Linked DNA regions of Stegostoma tigrinum. The protein of the gene in region 1 purifies or fractionates together with the protein of each later gene. This does not show direct contact. Links are inferred from orthologs where the notes say so. Each region holds a gene or a part of one and is shown in the gene's direction. Other genes may lie near its edges. The genes, in order: copb2, coatomer subunit delta and copg2.

The links.
Region 2: the proteins of copb2 (region 1) and coatomer subunit delta fractionate together in Homo sapiens (co-fractionation; 5 studies listed by BioGRID and IntAct, with this or other methods). This does not show direct contact. The link is inferred for Stegostoma tigrinum from reciprocal best matches to the Homo sapiens genes COPB2 and ARCN1.
Region 3: the proteins of copb2 (region 1) and copg2 fractionate together in Homo sapiens (co-fractionation; 4 studies listed by BioGRID and IntAct, with this or other methods). This does not show direct contact. The link is inferred for Stegostoma tigrinum from reciprocal best matches to the Homo sapiens genes COPB2 and COPG2.

What each region holds. Positions count from the first base shown.
Region 1 is NC_081367.1:20,776,918-20,784,171, forward strand, and holds the start of copb2 (coatomer subunit beta'), read left to right. Parts: upstream 1-4,254; 5' UTR 4,255-4,384; coding exon 4,385-4,387; intron 4,388-7,254. UniProt on the Homo sapiens protein: The coatomer is a cytosolic protein complex that binds to dilysine motifs and reversibly associates with Golgi non-clathrin-coated vesicles, which further mediate biosynthetic protein transport from the ER, via the Golgi up to the trans Golgi network.
Region 2 is NC_081385.1:4,853,468-4,861,539, forward strand, and holds the start of coatomer subunit delta, read left to right. Parts: upstream 1-5,011; 5' UTR 5,012-5,166; coding exon 5,167-5,169; intron 5,170-8,072. UniProt on the Homo sapiens protein: Component of the coatomer, a cytosolic protein complex that binds to dilysine motifs and reversibly associates with Golgi non-clathrin-coated vesicles, which further mediate biosynthetic protein transport from the ER, via the Golgi up to the trans Golgi network.
Region 3 is NC_081378.1:15,783,106-15,790,272, forward strand, and holds the start of copg2 (coatomer subunit gamma-2), read left to right. Parts: upstream 1-4,137; 5' UTR 4,138-4,242; coding exon 4,243-4,288; intron 4,289-4,296; exon of another isoform or gene 4,297-4,388; coding exon of another isoform or gene 4,389-4,425; intron 4,426-7,167. UniProt on the Homo sapiens protein: The coatomer is a cytosolic protein complex that binds to dilysine motifs and reversibly associates with Golgi non-clathrin-coated vesicles, which further mediate biosynthetic protein transport from the ER, via the Golgi up to the trans Golgi network.

The sequences.
Region 1 (7,254 bases):
ATGACCAAGGTGCCGTCTATGTCATGTATCCAGAGTTTAGGTTGGATTTGTGGAATGGCAGTCCTTTCCAGTCTTTGCATCACTGCTTCTGCTATGAGTCCGGAGATAGGCAGTCCATGGAACACATTGAACTACATCCCATATACATTCCACTATGGAGGAAACCCAGAAGTGAGGCGATCCATTGCAACAGACCCCAGAGTTTAAAAACCAGGCGGCAAAACACACCGACGCTTCATCAGAGGCTGCACTGAGGATGTTACCCAGCACGGTAATGAAACATCTGCGGAACAACAAATCAGCTCAGCGAACCAACCAACCTCAACACCCACACCTACAAATCTACTCCAAAACTAAATAATGTTATTGAGGAGCTGTTTTATATTAACATAGTTGAAAATGATAACAAGCAACTAACATCTCGTCTGAAGGAATAGCAGAAACAAGGGAAAGTCTCATAAAAAGCATTACACTGATAGCTGTGACAATGGGAGGTTGTAAGGCCTTCAGTGCCCATGAATTGGCTCCATTATGGGGAATTTAATGCTCTAAGAAACTTCGAGTGCCATAGCATCCACTCTGGGGAAAACTTTGACTACAGTTTGAAAGAAACAGTTTCTTTATAATTATGGCTTTTACATTTTTCCAATCCACATCATCCACTCTTTAATTTGGTTCATTTACTTGGATGCTTGTGTGTATATGTTGCAGGTTTTAGTAATGTTTACACTTTAAACCTAAGTGTTTATTTTTAATTAACAAAGCAAACTCGTTATTTCCTTACTCAAGGGATCTGGCTGACTTGTTTCCTCATAACTTTATACATGGTTGAGGATATACTGATTTGAAAATGTGCATCATTTCAAAAAAATCCAAGATCTTTTACCAACTTCAGGCTTGAAAAGAAAAGAATTCATTCACTGGACTTGGTTGAATAATACAATTAAAAAGATTAATTCAGACTATTTCCTAACAAGGAATTGGAGGTTATCAAGACTAAGGATAAAAGTTGGAACTCACAGTGTTTATTGGCACCGTTTCACAATTGTGCCTGTGGTGTAAATACCTTTGAGACATGATTTACTGTCAGTTCAGAAGAAAGATTTTGCCTGCGCTGCTGGCACTTTAAGAAGCCTGGGCTCCTGGGGAATACAAGCTTCCACATTCTTTTTTGTTAAATATATCCGACATCTTGCTTGATGCAGACAAAATGATGAACCCTGTTCATTTGCACTTTTTTGGTTGAAATACAACTGAGGAACACAATGTGTATAATTCACATCCTGAATATTCTGCTGGTTGTTGTCACTCAACATCACCACACAATCAGTAACTTCCCTGAGTGCATTGTCTCCGTTTCCTCCAGCATGACTAGGGTGTTGCATGTTTGTCTGAGTTCGTTGCTATTCCTTCATAATTTATCACCATGCTCAGGAAATATCAGGTATTATCTGGGCTGGTGGCATGTTTGCTGTATTTCTAACCCATATTCTTTGCTCAGTTTTGACATTTCTATCACAACAAAACAAAGTTGCTGGAGAAGCTCAGTCGGTCTGGCAACATCGGTGAAGGGAAAAACAGAGTTAACGTTTGGACCCGGTGACCATTCCTCAGAACTGGGAACTCAGAACGTTAACTCTGTGTTTCCCTTCACAGATGTTGTCAGACCTGCTGACCTTCTTCAGAAACTTTACTTTTGATCTTGACTTATAGCATCCACAGTTCTTTCAGTTTTTATTTGGTATTTCTATGCCTGATAACTCATCACGTATCTCTTTCATTCTATTCTGTTTTTGAAAATAAAAATGTCTATGCCTCAAAATGCTTAGATGTTTGGTTGCTGGACAAGGCTGTTCCAATGTATCTTTGAACATAAGTTCTTCTGGGTAAGGTAAACCATTCCCCACTGATGTTTCAGGAAAATGTAGTAACACAATTCACAAATCTCTCTTTGTTGTGTGACACTTATTGATAATGGATTTGATTGTGTTCTGTTACACTGTTAGAATATGAATAATAGAGTGACAGTGTGATATGAGTCATGATCCACTTTATACATATCCCTTGATTTGTCAGGGAACGATAGTCGACAAAATAAAGAACTGTGGACGCTGGAAATCTAAAATATGAGAACAGAAAGTGCTACCAAATCTCACCAGGCCTGGCAGCACCTATGGACAGAAATCAAAGTTAACATTTCAGGTTCAATAATCCTCCTTCAGAGCTTTGAAACGTTAACTCTGATTTCTTTCTACAGATGCTGCCAAACTTGCTGAGATTTTTCAACAATTTCTGTTTTTGTAACTGCAGTCCATTGTCAGACACTATCCATTTCAAGATACAGAATAAACTGGAAGTAATGCTTAAATAAAATCAAAGACCTGTAAATGTCAGCCATCAGAAAGTATTGCTCCACGAGTCAACAGCTGTCACATTAGTTGTGTTTCTAAGGTTTCCAAATAATAGGAAATTTGGAAAAGTAGTTAGTCTGAAGAACGTGATATTCCCCATGCACTATGACCAATTCTGGTGATATTTTTGCCTAAGGAATGGATGAAAAATTGTGTGGATGTAAACATTCCTGTGCTGCTGGGGTTGATTTATTTGGCATCCCTCACATAGTCATTGAATATCCTGATTCATCACTGGCTTATATACATTAATTGGGAAGGTACGTTCAGTAGCTGTATGCCCCTGGTGTAACATGGAAGTATCTTGATGTAATGCTTTCAGAGTTAGAACCATTATGCATTTGAAATGAGTTGTTGTGATAAACCAAGTCCATCTCTATACTGTCAAAATGAACAAATCCTACCGCGCATATCTTTAACACTGTTAGCCAATCCCGCGACAACAGTGTTTTACAATATTTGTTAATTTTGACATGTCTGTTGCAGTTTCACCCTGGTCCTGGTCAAAGTGAAAGAGTTCAATCTTGAGACCACTTCAATCTCACAGTCTAAAGCATCAATGTGAAAGTCAAGAGGTATAGCTTAGTCTTTATGTGGGTTGGATAATCTGCACAGCATGTCAGACCCATAATTCACTTCAAAGTCACATCCTTACACCTTGACAAGTAGATGCTTGAATGGCTGTGGTGCACTTATTAGCAATTTTCAGCAGATCATTTACAATGGCTTATGATCTTTCAACAGTGAACTTTTTGCCAGTTAAATATGAGTGAAACCACAGAATGCCAATTAGCAGGCTTAATGTCTTATGTTCTTTATTGGAATAATTGGCTTGCAGAGATGACAGGCTTTCAGAATGAAAAACAATAGCTGTATCATCTTGCAAAAGACACATATTGAAGCCTTTGCGTGTTGTATCTTTTCATTGGGTCATTGTATTGCAATAGTAACACTTTATTGTTAGAACCTGCTTGAGAATATGGAACACATTGGTGATCATCTTTCCACAAGTGGAGCTATCTTTCTTGAACAAATCTCTTAACAGACATCATCATCAACAGCAACAAAGACAAAGTGGCTGATAAAGCTCAGCAGGTCTGGCAGCATCTGTGGAGGTGAAAACAGAGATAACGTTTCGGGTCCGGTGACCGTTCCTCAGAACAGATATATCTTGTTCACTCGGTCCGGAAAATACAGTGAAAGAAGGGTAAAGCAGGGGTTCTGTGAGAATCCAGGAATGCACAAAAAAGGGTAAGTGCCAAGAGAACAAGCAAGCAGCTCTGAAATGGTCCAGTCTGTGAACCCGGGCACCTGACCCTGCCCGCCAAGTGTCACACCCACAGTACTGCAATACTAGATGCTGGTGTGCTCCAAAGTGCAGCATGGCAATGCAGAACAATGTGTGAGTGGATTAGAGATGTGCCATAATGGTCTGGAAAGGCTGGCTAACATTGGATGTCGACACACATGAACGTCGGGTCTCAAAACGAGCGCTGTGTCCGCAGTTCCCCCAACCGGAGAAGGGTGTGTGTGTGTGTGTGTGTGTGTGTGCGCTGAGGTCCTCCAACGGCAGGAGGCGTTGTGTATTCGCAGGCCCGCGACAGGAGTGGGCGGTGTGCTGGGACCCTCCTACCACAGGGGGCGCTATGGGCCGAGGGGCGGTGTGCGCTATGTGTTGAGGACCTCCTACCGCAGGGGGCGCTGTGACCTGTGGGCCTCCTCGCGGACGGCGGTGTTGTGGGCTGGCGTCTTCCGCGCCGACGCGGGCATTGAGTGCTGAGATCCTCCTAAGCGGAGGGGGCGCACCGTTCGGAGGACCGTCTAGGGGATGGGGCGCTGCGTCTGATTGGAGCGGCGTCTCTCGCGAACGTTGCGGAAATCCCGTGTTTCGTGGCTGAGGAGGAAGCTCCACGTCAGAGGAGCCATCAGTCCGGCCGGGCCTGGGTGTGGGCGCAGGCTGAGGTGCTGCAGCGATGGTGGGTACGCGGTTGTTGACTAGCAGTGGCTGGCGAGCGGGTAGGGAGCCTGAGCCTGACTGTGGGTGCAGGAGGTTGTGGCTGCTGGAAGTCTCGTCCCTGTTATGTCAACCACAAAGTGCCCTGCCCCACAGGCCCTAAGTACAGCCGCGGAGGGTCCCCGGTGTGTGAAGGCCATCTGTATGTATATGGTGCTGATACGAGGGCCAAGCTCTAAGGCAGCGAGAGGAAGGTGTAGGCTGGAAGGGACTGCATCTGCCCGGCCTCTTGTTCTGTAGTTAAACCCAAATACTGCGGAGGCTGGGATATGAAGTTAAAAAAAACACTGGAAACAATCAGCAAGTCTGCTAGGATCTGAGGAGAGAAATCAGAACTCCTCTTATTGCTCACCGTTTTGAGGCCCGTGCTGTGAACAGGGCCGTCAGGGGTTAGTAAGTAAATTATGTTTTAATTTAGAGATAATGGGAACTGCAGATGCTGGAGATTCCAAGATAATAAAATGTGAGGCTGGATGAACACAGCAGGCCAAGCAGCATCTCAGGAGCTGCTCCTGAGATGCTGCTTGGCCTGCTGTGTTCATCCAGCCTCACATTTTACTATGTTTTAATTTAGGCGTGTTTGTATCCTATTAGACATTTAAGTCGTTATAACTTCTAGCCATTGAATCCACCGCTAGTGAGAACTGAATTCCTGAGTAGGTACATAGTTGAAGGTTTGAGGCTGTTGTAACGCAGAAATGAGGTCGAAGTGTATCTATAAACAGTGTTAAGAAGATGAATTGTCTAGGACACAACCTGTTTCTGTTGCTGTTATACCTAATGAGTTTCACCATTTTTAGGCTGGATTAACCTGCATTCAAGAATTGTAAGCTGTGGAGGAATAGACTGATTTGAACATGACTGTTGTTTACATAAAAAGTCATTAATCACTTTTTGATGTGAGATTGAAGTAGACAGATCAAGTTTTTGTTGACCACCACTCATTTCTGCTTCCACATCAAAAGTTGTGTACTTAAGATTTGTGTACTTAAAAAACAATTTTGCAAATAGTGAATTCCTGCAATGTGATGACCCTGCATGAGTTGTAAGAGAGCATTTAAATTAGGTTGATGCATACTGCCATGTGATCAGTGGGAACAGATGTGGGCCATTGGGCCCGTCAAGTTTGCTCTGCCCTTAAATGAAATGGCTGATCTGATAATCTGTCTGGTATACAAAAACAGCATTAGCTGGAGAATCTCTGTGTCTTGCAGCATCTGAGGAGAGAAAGTAGCGTCAGTGTTTTGGGTCTGGCGACCCTTCTTTGAAATGGATTTTAGCTAGGAAAAGGTTGGTATGTGCATTGAAGACAGGACTCTATTTTGAGACCTAAAGGCTACAGAGTCTCCAAACAGAAAATGAGATGCTGTTCTTCTACCTTTGCTGAGATTTGCTGGTGCAAGACAGCAGGCTGAACTCTGAAATGTCAACTGGGGAACACAGCGTGACATATTGAAGTGGTAGGCAACCTGAAGCTTGGAGTCATTTTTAGAGTCTGAACATTGTCCATGTCCGACACCACCAACCCCACTCCCTGCCCCTGCATACCAGGCTGTGTCATCACATGGGCAGCTTTCACCACAGCCAATCTTTTTTCAGGCACTAACGGTCCCCATTAGCAGCTTTTCTTTTCTCATAAAACTGAGACTTGTAGAATTGTGACAGTATGGAAACAGGCCATTCAGCGCATTAAGTCCACACTGACCCTCCAAAGAGCGTGCCATTGAGAACCCTCCCCAATCCCTTTAACCCTGCACTTACCATGTCTAATCCAGCTAGCCCACGCATCCCTGGACACTTTGGACAATTTAGCATGACCAATCCACCTAATCTGCACATCTTTGGACTGGGGAGAAGACTGGAGCACCCAGAGGAAACCCACACAGACACAGGAAGAATGTGCAAACTCCATGCACGTTCTCCTGATGCAAGAATTGAACCTGGCACTGTGAGGCAGCAGTACTCACCATTGAGCCACCATGCCACCCCTTGGCTGACCATCATCCATTCTGTTGTCTGCCCCAATGCTGCTGTTCTCTCTGGTCTCCATCTCTAGCTATTGTTTCCTTTGTTGCCTGTCAAATTGTAGAGCATTCTTGGGAAATGATTGCTGTGTTTCTGTGTCATTCCCTCTGGAGTCCTAAAGATGTGTCATTCACATTCTCATTCACGTGCTGCCTGTGACACCATTATTCAAGACTTCTCTATTGTGCTGTCAGACTGTTTATCTGACATGTAGTCTTAGGAGTTGCAATTTCTATTAATTAGACATGAGGAATATCAAATTTCTTGGCATTGATTCATGTCAAAAACTCCTTGACATTGAATTGGCGCCCTTCGCCGACTACTGTCAAATAATGAACTGGAGTGTTAAAGTTATGATACAAGTTGATTGTTAAACTTGCAAGATGTTTTTAATTTTAGTGACTATGGCATGATAAAATTCCATATCTCACGTTTTTCTTTGAGTGTATGTAGGGAATTGGAAGTAGTTGCTTAGAAATTCAAATGCCGTAGGATTGAATGGATTAATGGTGGATTTAAACCATTGTTAGTAGAAATACTGTTTTGCTGAAATGTTTATTTTGTTTTTCCCTCTCTTGAATGTAATGACTTGCTCCATATGGCTCAATAGAAGGTAATGTCCATTTGCTATCATGTGTGAGTGGCTCATTGTGTATGAATGTGCACGGGGAACGTGATCGGCTGTTGTAATGTTAAGTTTTATGAACTTGTCTGGTAACAGTCTGCCATGACAATTCTGTATAAAGATAGGAATGTTGTTTACAAATTTATGGACCTTTCATGACCACAAATTATTCTAATGTA
Region 2 (8,072 bases), on another chromosome or scaffold:
GCACAAGTACCCACAGAGCCTGTGACCAGCGACACTGAATTTCATTCACAAGTGATTGCTAGTCGTGAGATATACTTTTACATCAAGCTTTAATTTCCTTGTTTCAGTTTTTCAGATAAATACCAGCACCTGGTTGAAGAATTGGAAATTTTCTTTGTAATTTAGCGCAAAAATCAAATTTGTTGTTTATTCAGCTCATTGTGAACTTACTTTGTCAACATCAGTAATCATTTTCATTACATATAGAACATGCTGTCCCAGAAAACAGTCCCAGTGGATAGTGGAAACAGCTATTGAATCTTTTAAAGGAAACATAGACAAATATTTGAAGCTGCAGATCGCAGGTTATGCGGGGAGATCAGAGTGTTGAGATCTGTTTGGATTAATCCAACAAAGAACTGGCATGGATAAAAATGACAGTGATATAAATCTCCTCATTCACAGTGAGGCAGTTAAGATTTGATTTATTATTGTCATATGTACCAAGATACAGTGGTAAGTCTTGTTTTGTCTACTCACCAGGCAAATCATATCTTATATAAGTACACCAGGGTAATAGGACAGAGAAGGTGCAAAAGTCAACTCTAATATATGAGAGGTCCATTCAAAAGTCTGATAACTCTAGGAGGGAAGAAGCTGTTCTTGAATATGTTGGTACATGTTTTCAAACTTTAGTACTGCAGCCTCACAGCACCAGGGACCCGGGTTCGATTCCACCCTCAGGCGACTGTCTGCGTGGAGTTTACACATTCTCCCTGTGTCTGTGGGGGTTTCCTCCGGGTGCTCTGGTTTCCTCCCACAGTCCAAAAGATGTGCAGGTTTGGTGGATTGGCCATGCTAAATTGCCTATAGCGTGCAGGGGTGTGTAGATTAGGTGGGTTATAGGGGGATGGGTCTGAGTGGGATGTTTTGAGGTTTGGTGTTGACTTGTTGGGCTAAAGGGCCTGTTTCCACACTGTAGGGATTCTATGATTCTAGGATTCTATGATTCTGCCCAATGGAAGGGGTTGGGAGAGAGTATAACCAGGGTGGGAGGGGTCTTTGATTATGTTAACTGCTTTCCCAATGCAATGGGAAGTGTAGATGGAGTCAATGGAAGGATGGCAGTTTCCTTCCCTAAGGGACATTCGTGAACAAGATGTGTTATTCCTGACAGTAGACAATGGATTCATGGTCATCATTAGACTCTTACTTCCAGATGTTTGGAGAATTCAAATTCCACCATCTGCTGTGGCAAGATTCAAATCCAGGTCCTCAGGACATTACCTGCGTCTCTGGATTAACAGTCCAGTCATAATACCACTAGGCCATCACCTCGCCTTACCCTATTCAAAGAACTCCAATAAACATCATTTCTCTTTCTCTTTCTCAAGACCATGTCGACTCTGTGTGATAATCTTGAATTGTTCTAAACGCACTGCTGTTTGATAATAAGTCCAAACATTTTCCCTATGACAAATGTTAACCAAACTTGCTTGCAGTTTCCTGCATCTGTTTCCATTCTTTTTGGTTGAATAAAGGAGCTACATTCATTATCTTTCAAACTAATGGGATATACCTGAATCTAGCAGATTTTGCAAAATTAAAGAAAGATTTATTTCCAGTCATGAGAGATCTAGACTGAGGGAACAAAAAACAGTTAAGGATGAGAGCAGTAGGACGCGTTTTTAGGTAGAGCTTTACGAACCTGTGGAATGTACTACCAAATGTAGGGGTTGAAGCGGAGAGTATGTCAAGAATTGCTTAATTTCGTGGCTGAAGGGCAAGGGAATAAAAAACAGGATAGGGGAAACAGAATGAGCACATGGAGGGATGCTACTTGTATCATAATAATAAACCTCCACACTGACTGGCTGAGCCAAATGGCCTGTTTGTGTATTGCTGTTTATTTAAGCCAATAGGAATATCATACCTACAAGTCAGATGAGCTATCCAGCTCCCAGAGGATGAATAACAATTTGGGCACAGCAGAACTTACCTTACACTCAAAGTTAACTGTTAACTTTCAAATTCAGTTTGATATTTTCTGTTTTTATTGTGGATTATATCTGGTTGTGAATGCAAGGATATTGGCCTTCCTTTCCAGGCTATTGACCTGGCAATGTAAATTCCAGCTTTTGTCAAAAATCATTTAAATTTGCACCATTGTCAAAGGATTTTATTTTGATATTGAACCAGAAATACATACATGTCACAAACTTTCATGAGGTTTATTGTGATGTTGATGCTTTTGATTTGACGGTGAGTTTGCTGTTTTCTTTTAAATTTCAGTTTTCCCATTTCGATAAAGCTTTTCATTTCAACAATAAATTACAAAGCCACATATTGGAAACTTCATGGAATATTGTATAATGTTTCAATGCATTTACTTCACCATGTGCATTTCCTATGCACTTTTAAGATCCAATTTTTGCATTGATAAAGGAATTAATTTAATGTTTTAAAACCAGAATGAAAATATCACAAAGTTTACTTAGTTTTGTTTGAACTTTCAGTGGGGTGAATATTCCCCAAAATCTGACTCATGGTTAGGACAATTAAATAGTTGCTTGTCAATCACATGCATCACAATTATACTTTTATATATAAGTATACTTTTGTATACTTAAAACAGAATTCATTCAGGAAAAGCTGGCATCACTGGCTAAGCATTCATTTATAACTCATCCATAATCACCGCGAGGTCAGTTAAAAGTCAGCTGCGTTGCTGTGGTTCTGATATCATATATAGGGTAGGCCAGGTTAGGATGGCAGATTTCCTTTCCTAAATAAGATTACTGAACCAGGTGGACTTTAATAGCCATCAACAATGGTTACCTGGTCATCATAAGACTGGTTTTTCATCCAGATTTCCATGAATTAAAATATTTATACTTGCCATGTTTGGATTTAAGCCAATGTCTGCAGAACACACTCTGGTGTTCCGGTTACATTAGAATTGTGCAAACCCCACCACCCAGAAGTTCAGAGAGAATCAATGCTGCAGGGTGAATGGTATTTAATTACTGGGGATGCAGTAGTTCAGAGTGAATGGTATTTAATTATTGGAGCTACAGTGTTACAATGTGAATGGCATTGCATTATTGGGGATACAGATCAATAGTATGTAATAATTGGGGAAACAGTGTGAATGGTATATAATTATTTAGGATTAAGTGTGAATGCTTTTTAATCACTGGGAATACTGTGAACCATATTGAATCACTGGGACACATGATAGTTATGTAATTTTTGTGGATACAGTATTAATAGAATATAGAACATAGAAAAGATCAGCACAGTACAGGCCTTTCAGCCCATGATGTTGTGCCATGGAATAATCCTAGTCCAAAACTAAAATAACCTAACCTACATTCCCCTCAATTCACTGCTGTCCATGTGCATGTCCAGCAGTCGCTTAAATGTCACTAATGACTCTGCTTCCACGACTACCACTGGCAAACTATTCCATGCGCTCACAACTCTCTGGGTGAAGAACCTCCCTCTGACGTCTCCTCTATACCTTCCTCCTAACACCTTAAAATATGACTCCTCGTGGCAGTCAATCCTGCCCTGGGGAAAAGTCTCTGGCTATCGACTCTATCCATGCCTCTCATTGCCTTGTACACCTCGATCAGGTCACCTCTCTTCCTCCTTCTCTCCAGAGAGAAAAGTGCGAGCTCAGTCAACCTCTCCTCGTAAGACAAGCCCTCCAGTCCAGGCAGCATCCTGATAAACCTCCTTGAAGTATTGGGATTACAGTGCTACAGTATGAATCATATTTAATTAATGTTACATTACATCTGGCATTGAATTATTGGGAATACATTGTGAATGCTATTTAATTATTGGGGATACTGAGTTGATTATATGTAATAATTGGGGAGATCATGTGAATGGCATTATATTTTGGTGGATAGAGTGTGAATGGTAGATAATTCTTGGGGATACAAAGTTAATGGTACATAATTCCTCAGGACACAGTGTGAACGGTATTGAATTACTAGGGATACAGCATGAATGGTATCTAATTCTTTGGGATACAGTGTGAATGATATATAATTCTCAAGGACACAGAATGAATGGTGTCTAATTCTTTGGGATACAGAGTGAATGGGATATAATTCTTGGGGATACAGTGTGAATGATATATATTGGTGGTATGGAGTGTATGGCATTGAATTCTTGGGGATAAAGAGTGAATCATATATTATTGGGGATACAGTGAAAATGGTATATAATTCTTGAGGAAGCAAAATGAATGGTATATAATGGGAGGCAATGGCCTAGTGGTATTATCACTGGACTGTTAATCCAGAGACCCACATAATGTTCTGGGGACTTGGGTTCAAATCCTTCCATGGTGGAATTTGAATTCAATAAAAATATCTGGAATTAAGAATCTAATCATGGCCGTGAATCCACTGTTGATTGTTGGAAACACTTATTTGGTTCACTAATGTTCTTTAGGGTAGGAAACTACCTGGCCTGGTCTACTGGTGACTCCAGACCTACAGCAATGTGATTGACTCTTAATGGTGCTTTGGGTGATTAGGGATGGGCAATAAATGCTGCCTAGCCAGCAATGCACTCATTCTGTGAATGAATAAAACAAAACAATTCTTGGGGATACAGAATGAATGGTATAGATTATTGGAGATAATGTCAATGGTATATGTTATTGGGGATACAGAGTGAATAGTATATAATTCTTGGGGATACAGTGTGAATGTATATATTGTTGAGGATACAGTGAGAATGGTACATAATTCGTGGGGATGCAGAGTGAATAGTGTATATTTGTTGGGGATACAGAGTGAATGGTTTACATTATGGGAACATAGTCTCAGTGGTGTATATTTGTGGGTATACAGGGTAAATGGTATATATTAAGGGGCAACAGTGCCAATGGTATATATTTTTGGGGATACAGGGTAAATGGTATATAATTCTTAGGGATACAGTCTGGGATTTCATGAATGGGGAGGTGTTGCTACCCTTTGACCCGAACGGGTCCCTCACTTCCGGTTGGAGACGTGGCCGCCGCCGCCATCTTGCCGGCGCTGGGATCGCCGCAGGTTCGGTTTGACTGTGCACCGTCCACTCGCCGCTACTTGGCGACGATCTCCTCACAGGTGTAGCAACGACAGCAGCCGGCCGAAGGAGAGGCCTCCGGTGGACGCGAAGATGGTAAGAAAGCGCGAGGCTTCGTGGCTTTAGCCGTGCTCCACTTCTGGCTGTCAGGCTGGGCCTGCCCAGGGTAGGCCGCAGTGCCCACAAAGAGCTTTCCTGAGAACTCAGTCCCGTTCTGTATCGGCCCCCGTTGCACTGAGCAACCCGTTTCACGGGTCATCTTACTGAATTAACCCCGGCACTGGCCTTTAAACGGTGGCGTGGCTGATATCACAGCGAAACTGCATTAAATACAGAACAGAACTGGCCTCTTCCCCTTTTAAAGAAGGACATTGTTGTTAAATATATTGTGGAGCTGGAGGACCACAGCCGCCCAGGCAGCATCAGAGGAGCAGGAATGTCGACGTTTCGGGTTTACACCCTTCATCTTCCTATCTCTCTCCACTGTTGCTAAACGTTGTTCGTGGGTCTTAATTAGCATTGAAACTAATGCGACATAGCTCCTTGCAACCCATAAAGTCAGACTGCTTTTAGGAGTGGCTTAACTATGACTTTTCATTTGTAAAAACTTCTGCACGTTTACCATTTTCCATCAAAATGCTCAATTTCGTGATCCTGGGGTGACTATAAATAAATGGAACAATTTCATTGTTAGGCAGTCTAAGAGTTAAGGTCTTATTTGGAAACCCTTAGAGCCTTTTCACATGATTAAAAACAGTAGTTTCAGTATTTCCAGCAGTGTCTAATTTCAACCGTTTACCTTTTTGCTCCTTTCTCATTAAGTCTGTTTCATACCCCTTCCTGTTTGGTGTAGGGATGGCCTGTTGCATTTTTTCACCATATTGATGTGACACATCATCACTTCGTATGCAACAGTCCAGGACTGAAGTATTACTAGCTCACCTTGTGATGTTGTTTGAGAATAATTCAAATTATGTCTTAAAATGGACTTTTTTTTTCAAAAGACAGCATTATGGACACTTTACCTCTACGCTTGTTTACTTACTCATCGAAGTTGAGTAAGTCTAAGGTACAGTAGGTGAACTTTGAGTTTTTGAATTGCTATCACTGAGCTATATGGGCCTCACTGTCTTCATAGTAGTTTTCTGTTATAAATATCTTTTTGATGGTCCAGTACTGCTCAGGGAAAATTAAACTTGGGGTTCCATCTCCTTATCAACTAAAAAAAATCTAAATCTTTGGTAATGTGATCAGTTTTTGTGAAACTTGTGTGAAATCTTATAACTTGCATGTCATTTCAATACTTGTGTTGATTAAAAGTTACAGTTTTGATCTTAAAATGGCTCAGGCTGCAATTCTGCCTTTTCAGTTCTGAAAGATGCAACAATGTTGCTGTTTGGAACTCAATCATAACTCACACTTAACACCTATATTGGTTCAGAAATTGGGGTTCCTACGTGGCTGTTGTGTAGCTATTTACCACAAAGGCATGCAGATGGTGTGTTAAGTTTTAGAAAGCTACGTGTTGGTGATGTACTTCTGTTAAACGGAAATTTAAAGCTTGTCAAATGTTATCCGTTTTCTTGAAACGCACTCCCAGCTCTCTGGGCTTTTGTGTGTAGCAGACTTGCTGTGATATAGAATGTAGAATTTCCAGTTTGATCCCACGTTTTTACTGAGTAAACTTACCTTGGACAAGACAGCAATTGGCCAAAGCCATAGCTATGGAATGAACAGCCGCTGGTGCTTTGTTCGATGTTATTGACCTGTACTGTATAAAGTGTTTTTGTGAATGTGTAATAATCATAGAATTAGTCATGGTTGGAATTGGTTATGATTTCAGGTCGTTGCAAATCTGCACCATGTTTCTGTGGCTAACCAAGATTAATTACAGGCCATTTACTGTTAATGGGTCAATCCTGGAACTGTCTCCCTCTAGGTCACAACCACATGGACTGCAACTGATCAAGAAGGCATTACCACTGAAGGGCAGTTAGGATGGTCAGCCAAAACAATTTCTCATGGATTTATAAAAGCAATTGAGCAAAATGTTAATTTATGAGGGCAGTGCCTGGATTGCGGTGTATTGGCTATATGGAGAGGTTGGGTCAACTTGTATTGTTTTTACTAGAGTATTGGGGCAGTCTGACAGACACTGTCATGGGAGGTGGTAGGAACAGTTATGATACCAATGTTTAACAGACATTCAGACAAGGAATAGATAAATGTAGACCATTTGCAGGCAGATGGAATTAGTTTAGAATGGCATCTGGTCACCATACACATGGTGGACCAAAGGGCCTGTACTATTCCATGTTCTAAGATGTAAAGGCTGTCAGCACCATGGAAGGATAAAAATGCTCAGTCATTATGCTCAAATTAATTTCATTAGACTTTGCAGCCCTAAGGGAATCAGGGAACATGTGGACAATGTGAGAAAGTGGAGGTTGAAAATCGGTCATGACATTATTGAATGGTACAGCAGGTTTGATGGGCCATATGGTCCCATTGTGATTTCTGCCACAGTGGCTTGGAGGTAGTGTTTAGGATGGAGGTGTAGGCCGTGTGACAGTGAGCCAGTGTTTCACAAGCCTGATATAATATTAGTAATGTTAAGAGACTTGCTGTTGCATTTATCAGTCTAACTCAGTGTCTCAACCACTTGCTATTTATTTGCGTCATGTGGATGCAAAGATTTACTTAATTTTGCATACGCTTGAAATGTGAATGCCAGGTGATTTGAATTTTAACACGTTGCCATTGGGAAAACTATAAACTGACTGAAATTGTAGGCTCAATAGAGGAAAAATGTGCAAGTTTTTTTTGAGGTGCAAATAGAAGTAAATTACCAGATTGTTCAGGTAAGTTGCCTGGGACTGCAGTTTGTGGACCGGCTGCCCTGGCTGATTGGAAAGAAACGTCTTGTATTTATGTTGCATTTTCAGGTCTTCGGGATGTCTCATAGTCCTTCATAGCCAAAAGTCTTCAGCAAGAAGCCC
Region 3 (7,167 bases), on another chromosome or scaffold:
CCTGAATTTCTCCAAAACTTTCCGCTTTAATTTCTGTGGCTGTAAGAGCACATTAAAGGCTGAGATTCTGCATCAAATAACTTACCTCCTGACTCCTGAAAACCTGTCCATCATCCATAAGGCACAAGTCCAGGTATGACAGAATACTGTCCGTCTCATAGGGATACTTGTAGTGTAGTGGTAATGTCCTTACCTCTCGGCCAGAATGATCCTGGGGAGGAAGGGCTTGTCATATGAGGCACGGTTAAGGACTGTGCGTCTGTACCCAATAGAGTTTGGAAGGAGGAGTATTGTGTGCAGTTTTGGTTGCCACATTACCAGAAGGACCGCTACCATCGCTGGGCCCACCTGGACAATTTTGCTGTGACGCCCTTCCGCCGCAGCTTCACTGCCAGCAGCACTGGACCCAACCAATAAAGAAGTTGTCAATCCTTAGACACCATGTTTTGCTGCTATGCCTATCTCAAGCTTTGGAGAGAGTGCAGAGAAGATTCACCAGGATGTTGCCTGGTCTCCAGGGCATTAGCTACGAGGAAAGACCAAAAAGGCTAGGATTGTTTTCACTGCAAAGACGGCAGCTGAGGAGGGACCTGATAGAGGTTTGCAAAATTATAGAGATATAGATAGGGTGGACAGCCAGAGACTATTTTTTCCCAGGGTTAAAGTTTCAGTTACAAAGGGGCACAGGTTCAAGGTGAGTGGGAAAACATTTAAGGGAGATGTGCGAGATACGTTTTTCATGCAGAGAGTGCTAGGAGCCTGGAATGCACTGCCAGAGAGGTGGTGGAAGCAGGCACGTTGGCAACATTTAAGAGGCATCTGAATGGTTATATGAAGGAGGGATACGGACTGAATAAGAGCAGAAGGTTTGTATTTTAGTTTAGTCAGGGGATGATGATCGGCACAGGCTTGGAGGGCCGAAAGGCCTGTTCCTGTGCCTTACTTCTCTTTTGTTGTGTTTTTTTAAATCACACTGAAACTTAAAGAATACGGAGAGGCCTGGAGTGAGTGGATGTTGGGAAGATGTTTCCACTAGTGGGAGAGACTAGCATTGAGGGCACGGGTTGAGAGAGTAGGGAAGACTCTTTAGAACTGAGAAGAGAATTGGACTTCAATTTTAAATTTTCATATATGGAATATATTTTTACTTTTCCAGGGTAAGCACAGGGCTTGGCATTGATATCAACAGCTGCTAGATTGGTGATGACGTTGGTGAGATAGGCATAGCAGCGAAAGATGGTGTCTGAGGATTGACAACTTCTTTATTGGTGGGTCCAGCGCTGCTGGCAGTGAAGCCATGGCAGAAGGGTATCACAGCAACATTGTCCAGGTGGGCCCAGCGATGGTAGCAGGTCTGGTGGAGGTGGCGGTGAGGCACTGGCAGAGGAGAATCAGCCCAGCGGCATAAGATGGGGCCTGAAGAGTGGCGACTTCAACGTTGGTTGGGTCCAGGGCAGATGGCGTTGATGCAGCGGGGGAGGGATGGTGATGCAGGTGTCTTGGATGATGGCTTACGACTGATGGACTCTCTTTAAGCTATATCTTTCTATTTCTTTCTTATACTGAACATTTTTCAAAATGGCGCCAGATCATTGTGACAGAGGAAAAGCTTTTCACTGTATTTTACTGTATTTTCACTGTAAAATACACATGACAATAAATCATAAATCTGAGCTGGTCAATTTTTTATTAAGTACAATATCAAGGAATACGTACACCCTCTGGCAAACATAAGGCATTAGGTCACAGATCAGCCATGAACTTATTGAAAGGCAGTACAGGTTTGAGGGGCTGAATGGCCTACTCCTGTTATTCGCTCTGAAAGGCAGGGGTCCATGTATATTAAGCTACCAGCTAATCCGATACATGGGGCTCTATTGTATACAGAAATAATGGGAACTGCAGATCCTGGAGAATCCGAGATAACAAAGTGTGGAGCTGGATGAACACAACAGGCCAAGCTGCATCTTAGGAGCACAAAAGCTGACGTTTCAGGAGCTGGATGAACACAGCAGGCCAAGGAGCATCACAGGAGCACAAAAGCTGATATTTCGGGCCTAGACCCTTCATCAAAAAAGGGGGATGGTGAGAGGGTTCAGAAATAAATAGGGAGAGAGAGGGAGGCAGATTGAAGATGAATGGAGGAGAAGATAGGTGGAGAGGAGAGTATAGGTGGGGAGGTAGGGAGGGGATAGGTCAGTCCGGGGAGGATGGACAGGTCAAGAGGGCAGGATGAGGTTAGTAGGTAGGAAATGGAGGTGCAGCTTGAGGTGGGAGGAGGGGATGGGTGAAAGTAAGAACAGGTTACCTCATCCCGCCCCAATGACCTGCCTGTCCTCCCCGGACTGACCTATCCCCTCCCCACCTATACTCTCCTCTCCACCTATCTTCTCCTCTATCCATCTTCAATCTGCCTCCCCCTCTCTCCCTATTTATTTCAGAACCCCTTCCCCATCCCTCTTTTCTGATGAAGGGAATGGGCCCAAATCGTTAGCTTTTGTGCTCCTGAGATGCTGCTTGGCCTGCTGTGTTCATCCAGCTCCACACTTTGTTACATGTTGAAATGTTAGCAAATGAGGATGGTGAGCCTCTGTAGGTTTTGAGCAGTCTGTCAATTTGAGGGGTGGCAGGGCTGTGGGATAATAGGCTGTCAGTCATTGTGAGGGGCAGGGGTCTGAGGTAATGAGTGGGCTGCGATTGTGAGGGGAGGGACTCTGAGGTAATGAGCAGTCAGATGTTGTGCAGAATAAAAATAAAGTTGCTGGAAGAGCTCAGCAGGTCTGGCTGCACCTGTGAAGGAGAAACAAACAGAGTTAATGTTTCGGGTCCAGTGATCCTTCCTCAGAACAGTCATTGTGAGGGGCTGAGCTCTGGGGTAATAAGCTGTCAGTCATTGTGAGGGATTGGGCTCTAGGATAATGAGCAGTCAATCATTGTGAGGGGTTCGGCTCTGGAGTGATGAGCTGTCAATCGTTGTGAGGGGCGGGGCTCTGGTATACTGAGCTGTTAGTCATTGTGAGGGTCTGGGCGATGGGGAACGGAGCTGTCAGTCATTGTGAGAGGTGGGGCTCTGTGGTATTAAGAACATAAGAACTAGGACCAGGAATAGGTCATCTGGCTCCTTGAGCCTGCCCCACCATTTAATAAGATCATGGCTGATGTTTTTGAGACTCAGCTCCACGTACCCGCCCACTCACCATAACCCTTAATTCTTTCACTGTTCAAAAATTTATCTAGTCTTGCCTTAGAAACATTCAGCGAGGTAGCTTCAACCGCTTCACTGGGCGGGGAATTCCACAGATTCACAACCTTTTGGGTGAAGAAGTTCCACCTGACCTCAGTGCTACATCTGCTTCCCTTTATTCTGAGGGGATGCCCTCTAGTCCTAGTTTCACCCGCTAGCGGAAACAACCTCGCTGCCTCTACCTTATCTATTCCCTTCATAATCTTATATGTTTCTATAAGATCTCACCTCATTCTTCTGAATTCCAATGAGTATAATCCCAGCCTACTCAGTCTCTCCTCATAATCCAACCTTCTCAATTCTGGAACCAACTGAATGAATCTCGTCTGCACCCCCTCCAGTGCTGGTATATCTCTTCTCAATTAAGGTGACCAAAACTGCACACAGTACTCCAGGTGTGGCCTCACCAGGACTCTATACAACTGCACATAGCCTCCCTGTTTTTAAACTCCATCCCTTTAGCAATGGCAGACAAAATTCTATTTGCCTTTTTAACTACCTGCTGCACCTGCAATCCTACTTTTAGCGATTCATGCACAAGGACACTTAAGTCCATTTGCCACGCAGCGTGCTGCAATTTTTTACATTTAAAACATAATCCATTTTGCTGTTATTCCTACCAAAATGGATGACCTCACACTTATCAACATTGTCCTCCACCTGCCAGACCTTTGCCCACTCAGATTATCTATATCCCTCTGCAGACTTTCAGTGTCTTCAGCACGCTTTGCTCTACCACTCACCTTAGTGTCATCTACAAATTTCGACACACCATACTTAGTCCCCAACTCCAAATCATCTCTTGTAAACAACTGTAAACAAATATTGAGCAGTCACTGTGAGGGGCGTGTCTCTGGGATGCTGAGCTGTCAGTCATTGCGAGGGGCGGGCCTCTGGTGAAATGAGCCGTCAGTCATTGCGAGGGGAATGCCTGGTAATCCAAAATAAAAAGCAGAAAATGCTGGAAATCCTCAGCAGCGTGAGAAAAGAAATAAAGGATGCTGGTCGTGAGCGAAATTTTTTATGGGAGCTGTTTTGAGAGCGGTTAGTGATGTGGGCACGCCCTATTACTGTCAATCGGAGTGGGAGGGTGTGGTCAGGTGCTGTCTCCCTGACGACGGCTTCTGGATTCGATGCTGTAAAAATGTTGAAGAAATTCGATAAAAAAGATGAGGAGTTGGGTTAGTGATTTTGTTCTGGACGCAGAGTTACCGTTCAGCCGTTAATTCTTTACTCTCGCTGTAAATGACCTCGTTGTCTGTGGGAGTCAGGCTGCGGGCCCTGTCCGCGCCCGAGGGCTGGTCAGTAGAAGCCGCCGACCCCGCTCGGGTTTACCGCGGGAGAAAGGGGTCTGTGTGTGGGTCAGGCTACGGTGGGAACAGTTTAAACATTTACCCTCGGATACCTTTTCTGCTTATTATACGGAGAGGCATGTGAGAGTAATACATGGGACAGTGAGCTGCTGCTATTGACCATCTTTATTGTCGAGAGTTTTAACTGATCGGTGTCATGAGAGAGTACGATCAATGGCGCACTGCAGGCGATAGCAGATTGAAACTAAACGGATTTGTATAGATTCGGGGCGGGTACTGGTGATTGTCTAGCCAGTGTGCTGATAAGGTAGTGGTTAGGACAGTAACCACTACATTGTAGCAACTGAAAAATCCAGTGCCCTGGGATGGCTGCCAGGCACAATTTATTATCCTTCTTTTTGTCCCCCAATAATGCGTCTTAGACGCTGTCGTATATCTTAACATGCCGCTCTTCAGTGTTTAAATAGCAAATTCCACTTGAGCTTTAACAATATTTGGTGTTTCCATAGTGCATTTGATCACTGCTTCTGATCGGTCATACCTCTGCTCTAGTATCTCCAGTCTGAATAACACCAAAGATATACCTCCACTAATGCTGTGTTCTCCTGCTTCCAATTCATCCCTTCCACTGGTCATTGTGATGCCTCAGATAACTATGTACACCATACACAGCATGACCTGGACAGTAGTCAGACTTGGCCTGCTTAGTGGCATGTAACATTTGTGCCAGGCAATGACCATCATCAACAAGTGAGAATCTAATAACCTCCATTTGAAATTCAATGGCATTGTCATTGCTAAATTCCCAAATGGCACCTTTAACCAAAGATTCAATGGTCTCAGTCACATAAATACTATGGCTCTGAGAACAGGTTGATCAGATATTCTGCAATGAGCAACTCACTTCCTGACTTCTTGAAATCTTTCTACTATCTACACGGCCAACTCAGGAATGTGCATTCCAGAATGAATGCAGTACCAACAATATTGATAATAATCCACACCATTTGGGATAAGTATGATTGAAACCCCATCCACACTCTTAAACATTCACTGTTTCCATCAACTGTAGCATCTATCTTCATTGGGATACATTGCAGCAACCCACTAAGGCTTCTTAGATAGCACCTCCTAAACTCTTGACTGCTACCAACTAGAACAAGCATATTAGAATTTCGACTGCCTGCATATTCCACTCCAGATCACAGTTTCTTGAATTAGAGATGTGCCATCTTTCATTCATTGTTGCCAGACAAAATCTTGCAATTCCATACTCCATAGAAGAAATGGACTGCAGCAGTTCAACAAGGATGTTCACCACCATGACTTTTCCAAAGCAATTACATATTGGCATCAAATGCTGTCCTTGCCAGTGACAACCACATCCCATGAACATGTAAAGAAAAAGCTTTTGCCAGTTGTGCTTTCACCTGCCCTGGGCACTAGCCCTGAAACTCCGAAACTCCCTCACTAAAACTTATTGCTTATCTCTCTCAAATTTTTGGTGATTATGTGGAGGTGCTGATGTTGGCCTTGTCAGGTGAAGTCAGCTGTGAAGGAGCAGCACTCCAAAAGCTTGCGATTTTTAAATAAACCGGTTGGTCTATAACTTGGTGTCATGTGACTTCTGACCAAATCTTTGGTCATCTGATAATATTTGTATAGATGGTACTCACTCGCAGTTTGCTTGAGAATGTTATTATGAAGCACCTCAAGATGTTCTACTAAGTTAAACAGTAACATAACTTCAAGTTACTAAAATTGATGTTTGGTTGCTCATTCAGTGAGAAACATACCAGTGCTTGGCTCTTAAACTGCATTGCTGTATGGCACTGGCCTTGCATGCACTTGAATGTTTCCAAGCTTTTTCTCAGCCCATGATCTTTACCATCGAGAAGGACAAATAGCCCAATTATGAGTATGCTACAGTCTTTGCAGTAAGTTTCAGTTTGAGATAAGCGTTTAAATTTAAATAAGGACGTGAAAGCAGAGCTAGCTAAAGTGAACTGGCAAGTTACATTATGGGAACTGCAGATGTTGGAGAATCCAAGATAATAAAATGTGAGGCTGGATGAACACGGCAGGCCAAGCAGCATCTCAGGAGCACAAAAGCTGACATTTCGGGCCTAGACCCTTCTTCAGAGAGGGGGATGGGGTGAGGGTTCTGGAATAAATAGGGAGAGAGGGGGAGGCGGACCGAAGATGGAGAGAAAAGAAGATAGGTAGGGAGGGGATAGGTCAGTCCAGGGAAGACGGACAGGTCAAGGAGGTGGGATGAGGTTAGTAGGTAGGAGATGGGGGTGCGGCTTGGGGTGGGAGGAAGGGATGGGTGAGAGGAAGAACAGGTTAGGGAGGCAGAGACAGGTTGGACTGGTTTTGGGATGCAGTGGGTGGAGGGGAAGAGCTGGGCTGGTTGTGTGGTGCAGTGGGGGGAGGGGACGAACTGGGCTGGCTTAGGGATGCGGTGGGGGAAGGGGAGATTTTGAAGCTCGAAGTCCACATTGATACCATAGGTCACTAGGGATACTGTGGCTGACATTAAGGGGATATTTCTGTATTCACAATAGATGCATTCCAATGAGAAATAAAGTTTAAGAGGAAGATCCAGCA